Drosophila melanogaster: one gene and its partner. The gene in region 1 interacts genetically with each later gene. Each region holds a gene or a part of one and is shown in the gene's direction. Other genes may lie near its edges.

Evidence for each region.
Region 2: of abd-A (region 1) and pb, changing one suppresses a phenotype caused by changing the other (phenotypic suppression), as found in Drosophila melanogaster (one study listed by BioGRID).

The regions. Positions count from the first base shown.
Region 1 is NT_033777.3:16,821,967-16,829,716, reverse strand, and holds the start of abd-A (abdominal A), read left to right. Parts: upstream 1-1,611; 5' UTR 1,612-1,713; coding exon 1,714-2,582; intron 2,583-3,409; coding exon 3,410-3,666; intron 3,667-7,247; coding exon 7,248-7,295; intron 7,296-7,750. UniProt on the Drosophila melanogaster protein: Sequence-specific transcription factor which is part of a developmental regulatory system that provides cells with specific positional identities on the anterior-posterior axis. Required for segmental identity of the second through eighth abdominal segments.
Region 2 is NT_033777.3:6,737,550-6,745,638, reverse strand, and holds the start of pb (proboscipedia), read left to right. Parts: upstream 1-3,575; 5' UTR 3,576-4,471; intron 4,472-5,464; 5' UTR 5,465-5,539; coding exon 5,540-6,089; intron 6,090-8,089. Other genes in the region: zen2 (zerknullt-related), read left to right, coding at 1,565-1,624, 1,692-2,390. UniProt on the Drosophila melanogaster protein: Sequence-specific transcription factor which is part of a developmental regulatory system that provides cells with specific positional identities on the anterior-posterior axis. Controls development of mouthparts, and labial and maxillary palps.

The DNA.
Region 1 (7,750 bases):
TGCGGAACTCAGCTCTCCACTCTTTGGAATTTCGGCCCTCCGATTCCGATTCGGATTATACGATTATACGACTATACGACTGTAGTGCGGCAATACGATTCAGTTTCCGATTCGCCGTGTTTATTGTTCCGTTTCGGCCGCCGGCTTATTGTCACTTAAATGTTATAGATCGCGTAAAATATAATAAAATTGTGTGTGAAATTTAAAACCGAAAAAACTGTCAAAACACTATGGTTTATAACTCACTGTGTGCGGTTCGTAAAAATTAAAAAGACATAAAGTTGACATCGTAAAAAGGTTCTCGCCTCTCCGTTCCAGACTTCGATAGTTCTACCTGCAAAGTGTTTTATGACATTTTAAACAAAGTAATTAAAGCAAAACGTTGGGAGAAAGCATTTCTCCGGCCACACACACACTCACGCACTTGAGAAGTCGTTAAAAGCCGCAGGAAACTCACTCTGCCATAAAAATACAAGAGTGCCATTAAAAAAGATCGCGCGCCTATAAATCACACGTACGAAATCCCGCCGGCACGACGTCCATTCGAATTTCCGCGTAATTGATGACCGCATTTTAATTGCTTTTACAACAAATAAAAGATACACACACCCCAAACACACACATGCGACACACACACTTGTGCCACAGCTGCAAATACAACGCAACCCGAGACCATATGCAAATTTAACAAATTTCGTTGTGAATTCGCCAGCTTCGAGCGAAAAAAGTAACAGAAACAGAAAAGCTGCAAATACAAGCTGCTCGCCAAAAGTTCGCTAGAGAAAACTTGAGAAAGGTAACAAAATGCATTTCACTTCTCGGAATCGAGAAAAGTAGCTTAAAGTCGGGCAGCTGGCAAAGTTTCCGAATTCTGTCTCACTAACTCTATCTAAAAAGTACTAACTGTTGGCCATCTCATATAGTACTGTAAAAGTAACCCACATACTAACTCGTTGGCACTGGCAGGGAAATCTAGCTGAAAAATATATAAAGCATTTGGATTATATATTTTTTTCACTTGAGTTCTGTATCATGCTACCCGAAAGATTTATGTTCAATCCAAACATATTCAATTTGGTTAATGTTCTTTTTATGGTTTCCGAGTAATTTTTATAAACATGTTATATTTTTTGTTTTGCCATTTTTAATTCTTGTTTATCACATTGGACGCCAAGTTTATTTTTGTTTTTAGTACCTTTTAATTCGATTAATTTTGTTAGTGATTTATATACTAAGTCCAATGTAGTTTGCATTCGATTATGAAGTAGAAAAGTTAAATACAGAGACGGGAGATGTTCATTAAAGACAAGTAAATTTTAATAGACATTGATACAAATTAAATTGCTGTGTAAATCTTATGAAAAAGTTAAAGAAAAAGATATTTTTAAAATGCTATTTCTCACAGTGTTGAATTATAAAGTCATTCAAGTTTAAGATTTAGGTTGTGCTTACAGAAGTAGTCGGAACTTTTGTTTTATTATGGCTAGAAAGCGCTCCTCTCCACGCTGAATTCAAACAAAATTTGTTAAAGTCACACAAAGAGGAAACTTTAAATTATAAAACGAAATACTCAATCTAGCCATTAACCAAACGACTCAGATAAAGAACCCAAATCATTCGAACTCAGAAATCTCCGAAACTAAAATAGAACAACAAGTGGACTAAACGAAATTCCGAAGATCCGATCCTCGGCCAGAGAGCAAAATATGTGCAATGTCAAAATTTGTTTTCGATAGTATGCTGCCAAAGTATCCACAGTTCCAGCCGTTTATCAGTTCGCACCACTTAACCACCACCCCCCCGAATTCGTCATCTGCAGCAGTTGCCGCCGCCCTAGCCGCCGCCGCCGCCTCTGCATCCGCCAGCGTTTCAGCCAGCAGCAGCAGCAACAACAACAGCAGCAACACGATCGCTGGAAGCAACACAAGCAACACCAACAATAGCAGCAGCAGTCCAAGCAGCAGCAGCAACAACAACAGTAATCTCAATTTGAGCGGAGGATCCCTATCGCCGAGCCATTTGAGCCAACATCTGGGCCAATCGCCCCACTCACCCGTCTCCTCATCGTCGCCCTTCCAGCAGCACCACCCACAGGTGCAGCAGCAACACCTGAACCACCAGCAGCAGCAACATCTGCACCACCAGCAGCAGCAACACCACCACCAATACTCCTCGCTCTCGGCCGCTCTTCAGCTACAGCAGCAACAACACCACATTAGCAAACTAGCCGCCGCCGCAGTTGCCTCGCACGGACACGCCCACCAGCAACTGTTGCTAACGCCCCCGTCAGCGGGCAATTCTCAAGCGGGCGACAGCAGCTGCTCCCCATCGCCCTCGGCATCCGGTAGCTCCTCGCTACACCGCAGCCTCAACGACAACTCTCCCGGGTCCGCATCCGCGTCCGCCTCCGCATCCGCGGCCAGTTCCGTCGCTGCTGCTGCAGCCGCCGCCGCCGCTGCGGCTAGCTCCTCGTTTGCCATCCCCACCAGCAAGATGTATCCGTACGTGTCTAACCACCCTAGCAGCCATGGAGGGCTCTCCGGAATGGCCGGCTTCACCGGACTGGAGGATAAGTCGTGCAGGTAAGATAGATTGCCCTGTTTAAGTATGGGATAATGCAGATTTTTATAAATCGGGATGGGTTTTATGTCCAATCGTAGTAAAATGATCTTAAATGACCCTAATAGGAAGTGCAAATATAAAGTCAATGACAAATGATCTATACTATCTAATATGATATTCAAATATTTGGAGTGCATTGATAGAACTTCTCAGACAGTATCATATTTTAAAATATATGCAAATTTAGTATGACCATTAGCTTTACCTGGCTTCAAAACCTTTAAGAAGATGTTTCCGGGGTTGAAAATACAAAAAAAAAGAAACACTCAGCTCTTCCAAGAACTAATTTCGCGTGCTCTCAATTTGGCGAGCGGAAATGCCAGTCGAGACCTTCAGTAAAATCTGCAAACACTGCAAAACCGCAAATCCGTTTCGAATGCGCTCTAATTATCGGGTCTCGGATCCTGGGACTCTGTCCATTTTCCTCTCGGCCACCGGCCATTCATATTGAATGGCCATAAAGTCGGAAAATTAGAGCAGCCTGTGGTGGCCGCTGGCAATTTGTCGCCGGCCACAAGATTCGCACGCACGCTGACCTTCCGCTGCGGCCATTTGCATATTAGTACTACTGTATGGGCACTCCATGTGCATGTACAGTGAACCCTGCTGTGCGTGGGCGTGTTCGGGATTAGTGTGCAATTAGAGCTAACCGCAGTTTGGTGAAAGGGGCATGCAAATGGCCACCTCATTAGCATTTGACTTTAGTACGGGCGCTGGAGTTGGGAACGTACTATGAGAGCAGGGATCACCAACAATAATGGCTACTTTCTCTCTCCCACACCCACAGCAGGTACACGGACACTGTCATGAACAGCTACCAGTCGATGAGCGTACCTGCCTCGGCATCTGCACAGTTCGCTCAGTTCTATCAACATGCCACAGCCGCCGCATCCGCGGTATCCGCGGCCAGTGCCGGCGCGATCGGCGTGGACTCGCTGGGAAATGCCTGCACACAGCCCGCCTCCGGCGTGATGCCAGGGGCAGGGGGAGCGGGCGGAGCCGGTATCGCCGATCTGCCCAGGTATCCCTGGATGACGCTTACAGGTGAGTCAAAACTCGATACTCGATAGTGCGGAGATATATTATACATAAGTAAAAAAATAACTGCCAGATTCGGACTCTTTGTGAAAGACTTCGGATCTGAATGTGAGTGCCAAATTTGATAAATCTTGAAAGTTATCCGATTTTTAGAATTGAGAATCACACATATCCCAATACAAGTTTATCACACTGAGCCAATCAATCAGTCTTTTAAATTAAGAGTCTGTCTATCGTATCTACTGTGTTCTATATATCATGCCAATCATTATAAAATCAGAAATAATCCGTGCACTTCAGGGAATGTATATCGTCTTAAATCAAGAATAAATTGCCTTCAAGATCTACAAAGCGATCTCTTAAAATTTTTTGTGTACATATAAATCATGGCCACTTACACTGAAATCAAAAAATCAAATAAAAAATTGTAAGAACTTATATTGGATTGAATTATTTAGTCGCTATGTTAGGTTAAATACTATAATTAAAAAATTTAAACAGCTAAGTTGTTTAACAACCCGTAGACTTAAACCAGGTTCGAACTGATTTACAAATTGTATGACCTAACAAAAAGCGTCCAGTCGAATTATCGAATTAAATTTCCCAAGTGTAGTATTTGGAATGGTTGCTGCGTACCTTTTATAAACAATAGATAAACGTGGCGCAAACGTTCCCCAATAGCATTCCCATTTGCACCGCCATTTCGCCTACAATTCCAATTCGTAATGAACACTTTGCGGAGCACTTCCAAGTCGTTTATTTCGCATAAGTCTTCCAGGCGATTCGAATCCGTAAACGAAATGAACGAAGAGCTAAAAAGTTGGCAGTAAATAAAAATGAAAATAGTTTGAGAAATGCTTCTCTTGTCTGTCGTGTTATTTGGCGTCGATTTGTAATTTAAATAGCCTCAAGGTTGCCCCACACCGACAAACGTATAGCCCAAAATGCCGACCAAAAAACACTGCGATGTGCCCCGCGCATACAAAATCCACATATCCGTCGAGAGATACAGATACAGATACTTTTTGGCCGCCGCTCTTTTTATGCGGCTAACGTAGTACGGGCGAACTCGCTTCAAATTTATGTGGGTCAGTTTAATTTACGCGATCCGCTCGCTTTTTCCGCGCATTTTGCACAGCAGATTTATTTATCATTTCTCATCAGGCCACTCGATTTCCACGCTGCACAAGAAGAAATTGAACGAATTCAATTTTCCATTCTGCCCCGCGGGTTGAATGCCTCCTGATTAATGGCAGACACCATATGAATAGACTGTCAATTGGCCTGACTTATGGACTGCACATCGGTCGTCGTAATAGAAAAAGATCGCGCGACGGATTTACGCGGAATTTACGGCATAGGCATGTTAATTAAACAGTATAAGTAATTGTTAATTGACGATCTAGCAGACAGAGTTTAAATAATGGCATTAATACGAGATAACAAGGTAGTGTGCTTAAGGGTCCAATGTTTATCAAGTGGTATATTTTGTCAAATCATTAGAACTTAAAATCATCGAGAAAAGAGGTTCAAAAGTTTCTCGGTCTTTTTTTTTTTGCCAGCATAATTTACATATTTGACCAGATTTGGGTGTCAATAAATCGATAACCAGCGCTCCTATTAATCTATGCAGATTAAAAATCCATTCCTCTATTTTAGTGGGTTTCTGGTTCGTCGATACCCCGAAAGATATTAATATGTGGCTAACACACCTATGTATTTGGCCGGCCAGCTAATAGATACACACATTCTGCAGGCAAAACCTGATGGTGAAAAGAAAACCCGAAGCATCGGCCAGTTGGGAAGATAAACGGTATTTCGCACAATGAAATATTTTGCATATCTCCCGCTCACAGCGCCAAGGCGATAAAATTGTCAACGAGATCATAGAGACGCGACTGGCGGCGATGAAAGTAAATACGAGCATGACGCCATTATGGCAGCCAAGTGCGCGACACGTCGACGCAGCCCCCTTTATCCACCACTCCTTAAATGCACATGCTGTACATAAAGCTGTATATACATACGTACGAAGTATATATGCATGTGTTTTGGCACTATATCCATGCACTTGCATGTGGATTGCACAAGAATCGCTTCGCCTCCTTCGGAAAAGTCTTTTCGTTTGGCTTTCACTTTGCCAAGCCTGCGAACCCACCCAAAAAACTCACAGACGAAGACCAAGACCCAGACCCGGACGCACCGGCAACATGAACAACTGCAACAGCAACTGCAACAACCATTGCTGCAACAACGGCAACGTTTTACAGCTGAATGCTTGCCAAATGCAATTTAACTAATGAATTTTAATATTTTACGCCAAAGCGTCTGAATGAATTTTCATTTTCACATCGTTGCACCGACTCCGACAACAACATCAACAATGTTGCCAAGGGGGCAGCAGCGGGAAATCGCAGGAAAAGCTGGAAAATGAGTAGAGCTGCGCGCCTGCACCTGATTATGCTGATAAGAAGCAAAGAGGTTAACTTTTCTTAATTATCTGGAAAAGCGCAGCCCGACAAAGCATGAAAATGGCAAGTTTCCCATCGCTATCCACATTGAGAATTCGCAAACTCAGCACGCTCCGTGGAGAAAGGAGGAGGTGGACACAAAAAGGTTAAGAAGTAGGCACACTGACAGAAAACGTGCAGTGGGTTCTAAAAACCCGTGGATATATTTACTGACTCAAAATAATTAAATTCTTGTTGAAGAAACATTTTTTTCAGAAATGTAAACCTATAAAATACATTCCTAGTTATTCAGCACAATAGACTTTGGAATTTTATATTGATATTAGAAGTTTGTTATGGGTCCGAGTATCTATTAACGTATTTTCGTCCATGTGCAGTCAGAACACTGACTTGGCTAGATAAGAAACGTCTGCACCATAAATTGTACAATCATCAGTGCGACAAAGAAGTCTCGGCCTGCAAAATCTTTGCACATATTAGAGATTGTCTGTGCCCCGTCCGTCCGTCTTTCCGTGTGTCAAATAAAGTGGCAACAACGACTGGCGAATGACCAGAAATTTGTGTATTTTAATTAAAAATGCACCAACGATGCCGAGCAGCTTCATCTGCTTATTAATTAGGAGGAGTCCGTCTGGTCGTTGGCTCGCATCATCATTCTCCCCTCCATCTTGCAGTGCCTTGACTAGTATTTTCCTCATATCTCCGTCGATATCGCCGACATCTTCTCCTCCTCCAGGCCGACCATCGTGGTCTACTTAAAGTGGAGCCGGTCCAACTGGCCGGAGGTTCACTCGGCCGGTGGTCCGCCGACTGCCGACTGCATTGGGCCGGCTAATGCTGCTTTTTGTGGCTGGCGCTGACAACTAAATTGAAAACGGCCCGATTGAGTGGTTTATGAAAGCTGCCATGTGGCACAAATGTCCGAGGGGGCAGTGGACAGATATGATTTGAGGGATCGACGCTCCATTACTCAGCGGGATGCTCTCAAGGCTGTTTGGCGCGGAATTTCGCATTAGCAGCACATATGAGAAGCACAACTCCTTAGTTCCTTAGAAAAAAACTCAAAGAAAAACCGAAAATTAATTGCTTTTCTCTTCCTCCTTTTTTTAATTTCAGACTGGATGGGAAGCCCCTTCGAGCGTGTCGTTTGTGGCGATTTCAACGGTAAGTACCGCAATTAACCGGAAACCCTTGAAGTTAATATCCCGACTGACATTGAAGCAATGGGTTATTTCACTAATCGGCCGTGGAATATGCCGGAAAATGCTGTTTTTTAGAGCCTGCCTAGATGGCCTTGAAAAATATGATTTACCTGCTCAACCCAGCGACTTTCACCCGCTGAAGGAAACCCTTCTTTGTAAAATGCAGCCTGCAATCTGCCGTCACATGACTCCTGCTGTCCTGTCATAAATCCCTCAACCTTTGTTCTCACATCCTTGTCTTATTCATTGTATAATTTCATTGTTTATCGGAGTCATCTTCTGGCTAATATCCAAAGCAACCAATGGTTTTGAAGCCAAAGGTTTGGACGTCTGGCAACTGTTCGCTTTCTATGTTGATTTAGCAAACTCCGTGAAAGTTGCACCGATAACTCAAACATGCCGGTCAAGTACCCGACC
Region 2 (8,089 bases), about 10 Mb from region 1:
ACCCAAGTTGTTTATGAGATTTTCCACTCCGGTAATAGCAAAACTTTATCGATAACGAAATTCTACAAGTTTCTATTATTGGCATAATCAAATAACTAATAAAAAGGCACGACTCTGTGACAGCTGACGATGAAATATTGTTCCCAAAACAGGGCAAATCTAATATGATCCCAGTGTCCTCATCTCCTTTCCATGTGACACAACACGCTGGTCGAGATGGAAAAGCTGCAGAAAATTTCAATATGCTGGAAATCACTTTATGATGTGATGACACCAATTTATCTGAGCTCACTAAGGAGCAGAGGGGCCTGCCGTTGTGACCACAAAATTGTTCGACCAAATGGCTTGCAAGTTGTCTTCACATCTTAACCATGCATAAGAGCTCTGACTAAATTATAGTAATGCTGGCTTGCAGTCTCGTCTTGAATTGTGTATATAAAATCATAAAATTTAAGGTAAAATCTACAATTTGCTCTTTCTGTAAAGTCCTCCACTTAGATTGTACCAAAATGGAGAATGTAGAATCTTACGGATCATCTGATAGGCTACTCGGGGCTACAATCTCGTCTGAGAGATTTGTTTTTGGGTGGACTTATGCTATTCCCTCCCAGAAAACCTAGTTTTAGTTTACATAAGCCCGGGCGATCGTAAATCTGTGCTATATAGCACGTAGCTCGGGGGATATGACCGATTTTATAGCGGGCGATTGGATTAGCTTGAAGTGACACTGTTTTTACAATCAGGGATCAGGGTCGGATCGCTTAGCAATGCTAAGCAGGTAGCTCAACCCTTAGATATTCATAACTGACGCGGAAAACCCCGGGAAAAACCAAGACCTTTCCCGTTCATGGCCAAAACATACCTGGCCGGGGGATTGGGGTCTCGAAGGCATGAAAAAAGCTGGGCAGATCCGTAGGTATATAGGTAGGTAGGACTATCAGTGGATATTTTGGATGACAAAGTGAACTTAGAACACACTTATTTTCAAATGATAGTCAGTTTTTATTTGGATAAGAATGGAAATATTTCTCAATACTGAAATATTATTTATCTATAAGCTATCTCGTAGGCCTAAAGTTGATTTAAAATTAAAATAATTTTTATCTAAGAGTTAACGTTTAGGTGCCTTGAAAATGGAGATGTATTTTAATGTTTTCATCACAAAATGTTTCAGATCTTAAAATATATTACATTTGATTTTTTGCAAGTATTTATTTGACGAACTAAATAATATCATATAAATAAAACAAATAGATCCAGACGTAACATTAATATCCCCTGAATAATATTTCTCCGTGTGACGCTACTTAGAAGTACGTCGGTTTCTCTGGAGCCTGGAACTCACCTTGATTCGGAGCCAGGCTCAAAAGGACGCGACATCTACCAGCCCAGACCAGCCGTCTGGGAATTTGAAAGTGTCGCAGGCGGGACAGGTAGGAACCAATCCGATCCGTCACGAAGGGCTTCTGGGGTATATAAGCAAATAAGGAGAATCTAAAGGTATCTAGTTAAAAAACATCGGCCACAGCGGTCAGAAGCCAACAAATCGCGCTCTTCAAGAAAAATGTTTGCCATTCAAAGCGAAAACTATTTTGTGGACAATTACTCAGTCAGTGATTTAATGGTGGGATTTAAAAAATTACTGCTTATTTAAATAAAAACTAAGATTTAATTGATCTATATATTTATAGATGTATCCTTGCGTCGAGTTAAACGTAGAAGCCGCTCCCACGGCAACAACAAGGTCTTCGGAGAAATCAAAGAGATCTCGCACGGCATTCAGCAGTCTTCAGCTAATCGAACTAGAAAGGGAGTTCCATCTCAACAAATATTTAGCCCGAACCAGGCGAATCGAGATATCACAGCGTTTGGCACTCACAGAGAGACAGGTTAAGATCTGGTTCCAAAATCGTCGCATGAAACTCAAGAAGTCGACCAATAGGAAGGGTGCCATTGGAGCGCTGACCACATCTATTCCACTTTCTTCCCAGTCGAGCGAAGATCTTCAAAAGGACGACCAGATCGTAGAGCGTCTCCTTCGATATGCCAACACAAATGTGGAAACAGCTCCACTCCGGCAGGTTGATCACGGTGTCCTGGAGGAGGGTCAAATTACACCACCCTATCAGAGCTACGATTACCTCCATGAATTTTCTCCTGAGCCCATGGCTCTTCCCCAACTGCCCTTCAATGAATTCGATGCTAACTGGGCGAGTTCATGGCTGGGCCTTGAGCCAACGATTCCTATCGCAGAAAATGTAATTGAACACAATACACAGGATCAGCCAATGATACAGAATTTCTGCTGGGACTCGAATAGCTCTTCTGCTTCATCGTCGGATATTTTGGATGTTGACTATGACTTTATTCAAAATTTGTTGAACTTTTAAATATATCTTTGACTATATGTTTAGGCAACTGTACATACATACATATATAATCATTGTATTATACGAGCAATATCTTTCTGTGACTACATTATTATTACTTATTTTGGATGAAATAAAATATGTTTTATAATTAATGTGCGCATTTATTTGTTCAAACAAAAAATGCTGGTTGTGCAGCATTTGGGGATACATTTTGCGGACTCGATTTTCAAAAATTTCACCACCAGACAAATCAAATATTTTTAGACAAAATTCCATTTTAGTGGGCGATACAGTTGAGAAACTAAATAAGCTTGACTTGTTAAAACATTTATTTATATGATATTTATAATGAATGGCCTTGGCTTTTTATTTTACTTAATGCTTCCTCAAAGTTTCTGTATTTTTCACACATATATCTTTTTCACAATTTTAAACAATCTCATGGTGCGCATCGTCATTACGTAGACTGCCGATCACATAGCTCCCTGCTGTCAGACAACTTGTTCGTCAGAGCGTCCAAGTACGAACACCACCCCCAGCTGCAGTGCAAAATCGTGGCAATATTTTTACACCTGTAGTGACACCCGTGTGCATTAAAATCCGCACATAATTACAAACTCTGCGCGGACTGGATTGGAGAACGTTAGCAAAAAGAGGGCGAAAAAGCGGCCAAAAGGCAAAAAGCAATGCCACCAAGATTGACAGGAGAAGAGGCGCCCAAAACAAAAAGAGCGATGAGCGAAGCAAAATGTCAAAAATACCCATAGCCGAAAGCCAAAAAAGCCGGAGAGCGAGAAACTCGCTACTGTGGCTTTTTCTTTTCATTTTTTAGCAGATGCGAAATGTGTAAATAAGAAAAACCAAATAAATTCCGTCACAAGCAACACGTTCGCGTTGGAAGTGGAAAAAAGTGAATGAGGCAAGAAAACGCCGCGGAAATGATGGCCCAAGATACAGGGGTTCCCGAGCTACACGACCGCAAAGATACAAAACAAACTGCCGAGCCGGCCAATCAGAGGGCCGGAGACTTGTGCGCCGGTGTGTGTGAACTCCACCCCCTGGTCTCTGCGCGTAATGGCTATAGTAACCAGTTTCCAGATGGCACCGCGCATGTGCCGACCAGGAAAAAGCGTGATGGATGCGGTGGCTGTCGCTTAGGCCACTCCTTGATACTGGGTCCCAAAATCCCAGTTCAGTGCGTTCGGTGCTATTGGATGGAATGGTTGTTGGCTGCTATCTAGCTCTCGGGAACCGCACGAAGCTCCCCAAAAGCCCTCTGTCTCGCTCTCGCTACGAATCGGTTCGGTATCTAAAAAATAATATTTATTAAAATGACAGCTACAAAAATAGTTCAAAAATTTTGAAAACTAAAAAGTGATATTATTAAAACGAGTTGAAACCAAAAGTTTTACTATACGGTTGAGAAGCACTTTAGGAACCCCTGGAAACCCGGTTCTGCGCACCTCTTGAAGGCCAGAGAGGGACAGCTAGTGCCCACATGTGTATGAGTGCGAGTGGAGAAAACTATCTCAGACGAATTGCAACGACTGAGTGTGTGTCTGTGTGTGGCCATTGCAGCGATCGCAGCGACTCTACAAAACTCTACAAAATCAACACATTCCGCATACGCACCGTTGTACAGCGCGTACTTGCACTATTGTCGTTATCGCCGTTGTTTCGTCGGTTGTGTTGGCCTTTCGCGTCGCCATGGCTGCCAAAAGGTGTGTGTCTATGTCAACCTGAAAGCGAAAAACCAACTCCAAACACCACTTGACGGTTGAGCAAACACAACGGTGGCCATATTTACATTCGGATCTGGGTTCCCTCGCTCTCGTCGCGGTTGTCGCCTCTTTTCGCGGCCCACAGATAAGCCCTGACACACTGAAGTTTTACGCAAAACCCGCATCGCAAAAGTTGTGCCGGTTGAAACTAAAAAAAAAAAACAAACAAAAAGTTAAGCCAGTTACTATGAGCGAGTGCAGACAATAGTGAAAACGGTGACCCAAGTGATACCGGTGAAATTTCCACAAAGAACGCATATGTCAACGTAAGAGGAGAAATATGGAATACTGTGGTCTGTAAATGATCAACTTAATATGGTACGAAATTATCTTACACATATTTCTTACCTACATTTAAAAATAAGTGTATCCTTTTAAAGCACGAGAAAATCAAAGCGTGTCGTTATTTCGTTTTTGATACAACATGTTAGTCTAAAATACGAGCCTTTTAAGTCGGCAAAATGTTTACTGCAAGAAATATTTCAAATCTTTAATTGGCGGAATCGGAAAATATATTCGAATTTTCTTATTCATTTATACTTCCTAGGAAATTAGCTATGCGGCATTTCTTAGATGAGGATATGTAACAGCTTTATAACTTTTTCTGTTTAAAATATGTTAATTTATTTACTGACTATTAATCCTTAAAAAAATAATGTAAAATAATGTATGCGAACCAAGCCAATTTAGGTAACATTGTAGGACAGGTTGTATGTATTGTACATACATACAATACATATTGTCAAATCTCAATCGAAATTAGGTGGCCATAAATTTAAAGTGAAGGCCTAACAATTTCTATAAGAGCAATAGTAAAAATGCAGACTACAAATGAATTTCTGGCACAGAAAACTGAGAGACTAATGAAATATAAATTGGAATATGTAATTTAAAAATAGTCAAGTTTTTGACAGTTGCAATGTGAAAAATTGGATCGGTAATAATAAAATAAACATTGATTAGCATAGTAAAGTGACGATGTTTTTGTTTCTTAAAATGTTAATGAAGATAATGACATATCTTAATGAAGTATATACGTACATTATATTGAAATTATATATATTCAAAATATATAAATAAAAATTCAAAAATTATAAATATAATAATAAAATAAACATTGAATAGCATAGTAAAGTGACGATGTCTTTGTTTCTTAAAAGGTTAATGAAGATAATGATAACATATCTTAATGAAGTATATACATACATTATTCAATTTCACATTCGATAAGAACAGTGAAACCTCTAACTTCCTGGGAACTGAATCGTGATAACATTATTATGAGATTACAAAAATGGCTTTCCTTTCCAGGTTCCCAAGCTGAGGAACATCTAATACGCTCAGGAATTGAAATAGAAAGAATCTAAAAAAAATTATACCCAAGCTATGCAAGAAGTCTGCAGCTCCTTGGACACGACCTCAATGGGCACCCAAATCAAATCGGAATCTCCACTCAACCCGCTGCAGGTGCAAACTGGACAGACGTCCCTGCCAGTGGGTGGTTGCGGTGGTGCGGGCGTCGTGGGTGGTGTGGGTGGCGTGGGAGTGAGTGTTGGTCAGCCTGGTATCGGACAGCAGGGGGTGCCACCTGTGCCGTCGGTGCTCATGGTCAACAAGATGACCCCGAACTGTGATAAACGGAGCGCGGACACGGCCTATTGGATGACAGCATCCGAGGGCGGGTTCATCAATTCGCAGCCGTCGATGGCTGAATTCCTCAACCACTTGAGTCCGGAGAGTCCCAAAATCGGAACACCTGTTGGATCCGGCGCCATTGGCGGAGTAGGCGTCAACGTTAATGTCAATGTCGGCGTCGGAGTCGGATATCCGGTTGGCGTTGTCCCTCAAACGCCGGATGGAATGGACTCGGTGCCGGAGTATCCCTGGATGAAGGAGAAGAAGACATCCCGCAAGAGCAGCAACAACAACAATCAGGGTAAGTCCACATGCACATTACACTGGGGGAAGCATAAGGTTTTTAATTTAGCGATCGACCATGTCAATTTGAACACCATTCTCTGAAGAATAGGCGATAATCTCATCAGTCCATCTCAAACTATTGAATCAATCAAATAAAAAGTAAGATATTTTTATAGACACTTTTCCATATCAGTTTAGACCGGAATCAATTGGGTTCTCTTGTCCCGGCCATTTTTTCTTGCCGTGTACTGGCTGGTGAAATGCGAAACTCTCATTAATCACGAGCTCACAGAAACCTAAAGACTCCAATAGCGCCAATTATGCCACTACGAAGTCCCTCTGGCACCTGGTTTCGAAGTGATGAAGAAAGAGCCAGTGCTTTCGCTGACCATTTACAAAATGTATTCCGACCAAATCCCTCTACCAACACATTTATTCTCCCTCCTTTAATAGCAGCCAATCTAGATCCTCAAGAACCCTTTGAATTCCGACCATGTGAACTAGCAAAGGTTATCAAAGAGCAACTGAACCCAAGAAAATCGCCTGGCTACGACCTAATAACTCCAAGAATGCTCATTGAACTCCCAAAGTGTGCTATTCTTCACATCTGCCTGTTGTTCAACGCAATCGCCAAGCTTGGATACTTCCCTCAAAAATGGAAAAAGTCGACCATAGTAATGATTCCAAAGCCAGGAAAAGATAAAACGCAGCCATCATCATATAGACCGATAAGCTTACTAACATGTCTTTCAAAGCTGTTTGAAAAAATGCTACTCCTTCGGATTAGCCCTCATCTTAGAATAAACAACACACTTCCAACACATCAATTTGGCTTTAGAGAAAAACATGGAACCATCGAACAGGTCAACCGAATCACGTCAGAAATTCGTACTGCTTTTGAACATCGAGAATACTGCACAGCCATTTTTCTAGACGTCGCGCAGGCATTTGACAGAGTGTGGCTCGATGGACTTTTGTTTAAAATAATCAAGCTGTTGCCCCAAAACACACATAAGCTACTGAAGTCATACCTATATAACAGAGTGTTTGCAATAAGATGCGATACAAGCACTTCACGCGATTGCGCAATCGAAGCTGGAGTGCCGCAAGGCAGTGTACTGGGTCCAATCTTATACACCCTGTATACGGCGGATTTCCCCATAGACTACAATCTAACAACCTCCACGTTCGCTGATGATACCGCGATACTCAGTCGCTCGAAATGCCCAATAAAAGCCACGGCACTCCTATCCCGACACTTAACATCTGTAGAACGATGGCTTGCCGACTGGAGAATTTCAATAAATGTTCAAAAATGCAAGCAGGTTACCTTTACCTTAAACAAACAAACATGCCCACCACTGGTCTTGAATAACATATGCATTCCACAAGCCGACGAGGTAACATATCTGGGAGTTCATCTGGACAGGCGGCTCACTTGGCGCAAACATATAGAAGCCAAATCGAAACATCTTAAACTTAAAGCAAGGAACCTCCACTGGCTCATAAATGCTCGCTCTCCACTTAGTCTGGAGTTCAAAGCTCTTCTATACAACTCCGTCTTAAAACCTATCTGGACTTATGGCTCCGAGCTGTGGGGCAACGCATCCAGAAGTAACATAGACATTATTCAGCGAGCACAGTCAAGAATTCTGAGAATTATCACTGGAGCGCCGTGGTACCTTCGGAACGAAAACATACACAGAGACCTAAAAATCAAATTAGTAATCGAAGTAATAGCTGAGAAAAAAGCGAAGTATAACGAAAAGCTGACCACCCATACAAATCCCCTCGCAAGAAAACTAATCCGAGTATGCAGTCAAAGCCGGCTGCACCGCAACGACCTCCCAGCCCAGCAATAAACTTATTAGGGCATTAATGAAAAAAAAAAACTATCACTAAGTGAAAGTTAATTAAGTTAGATTAAGATTTGAACACTTATTGTTAGTCTCTTAACACAAAGGGAAGATTCAATAAATAATAAAAAAATTAAAAAAAAAAAAAAAAAAAAATCAC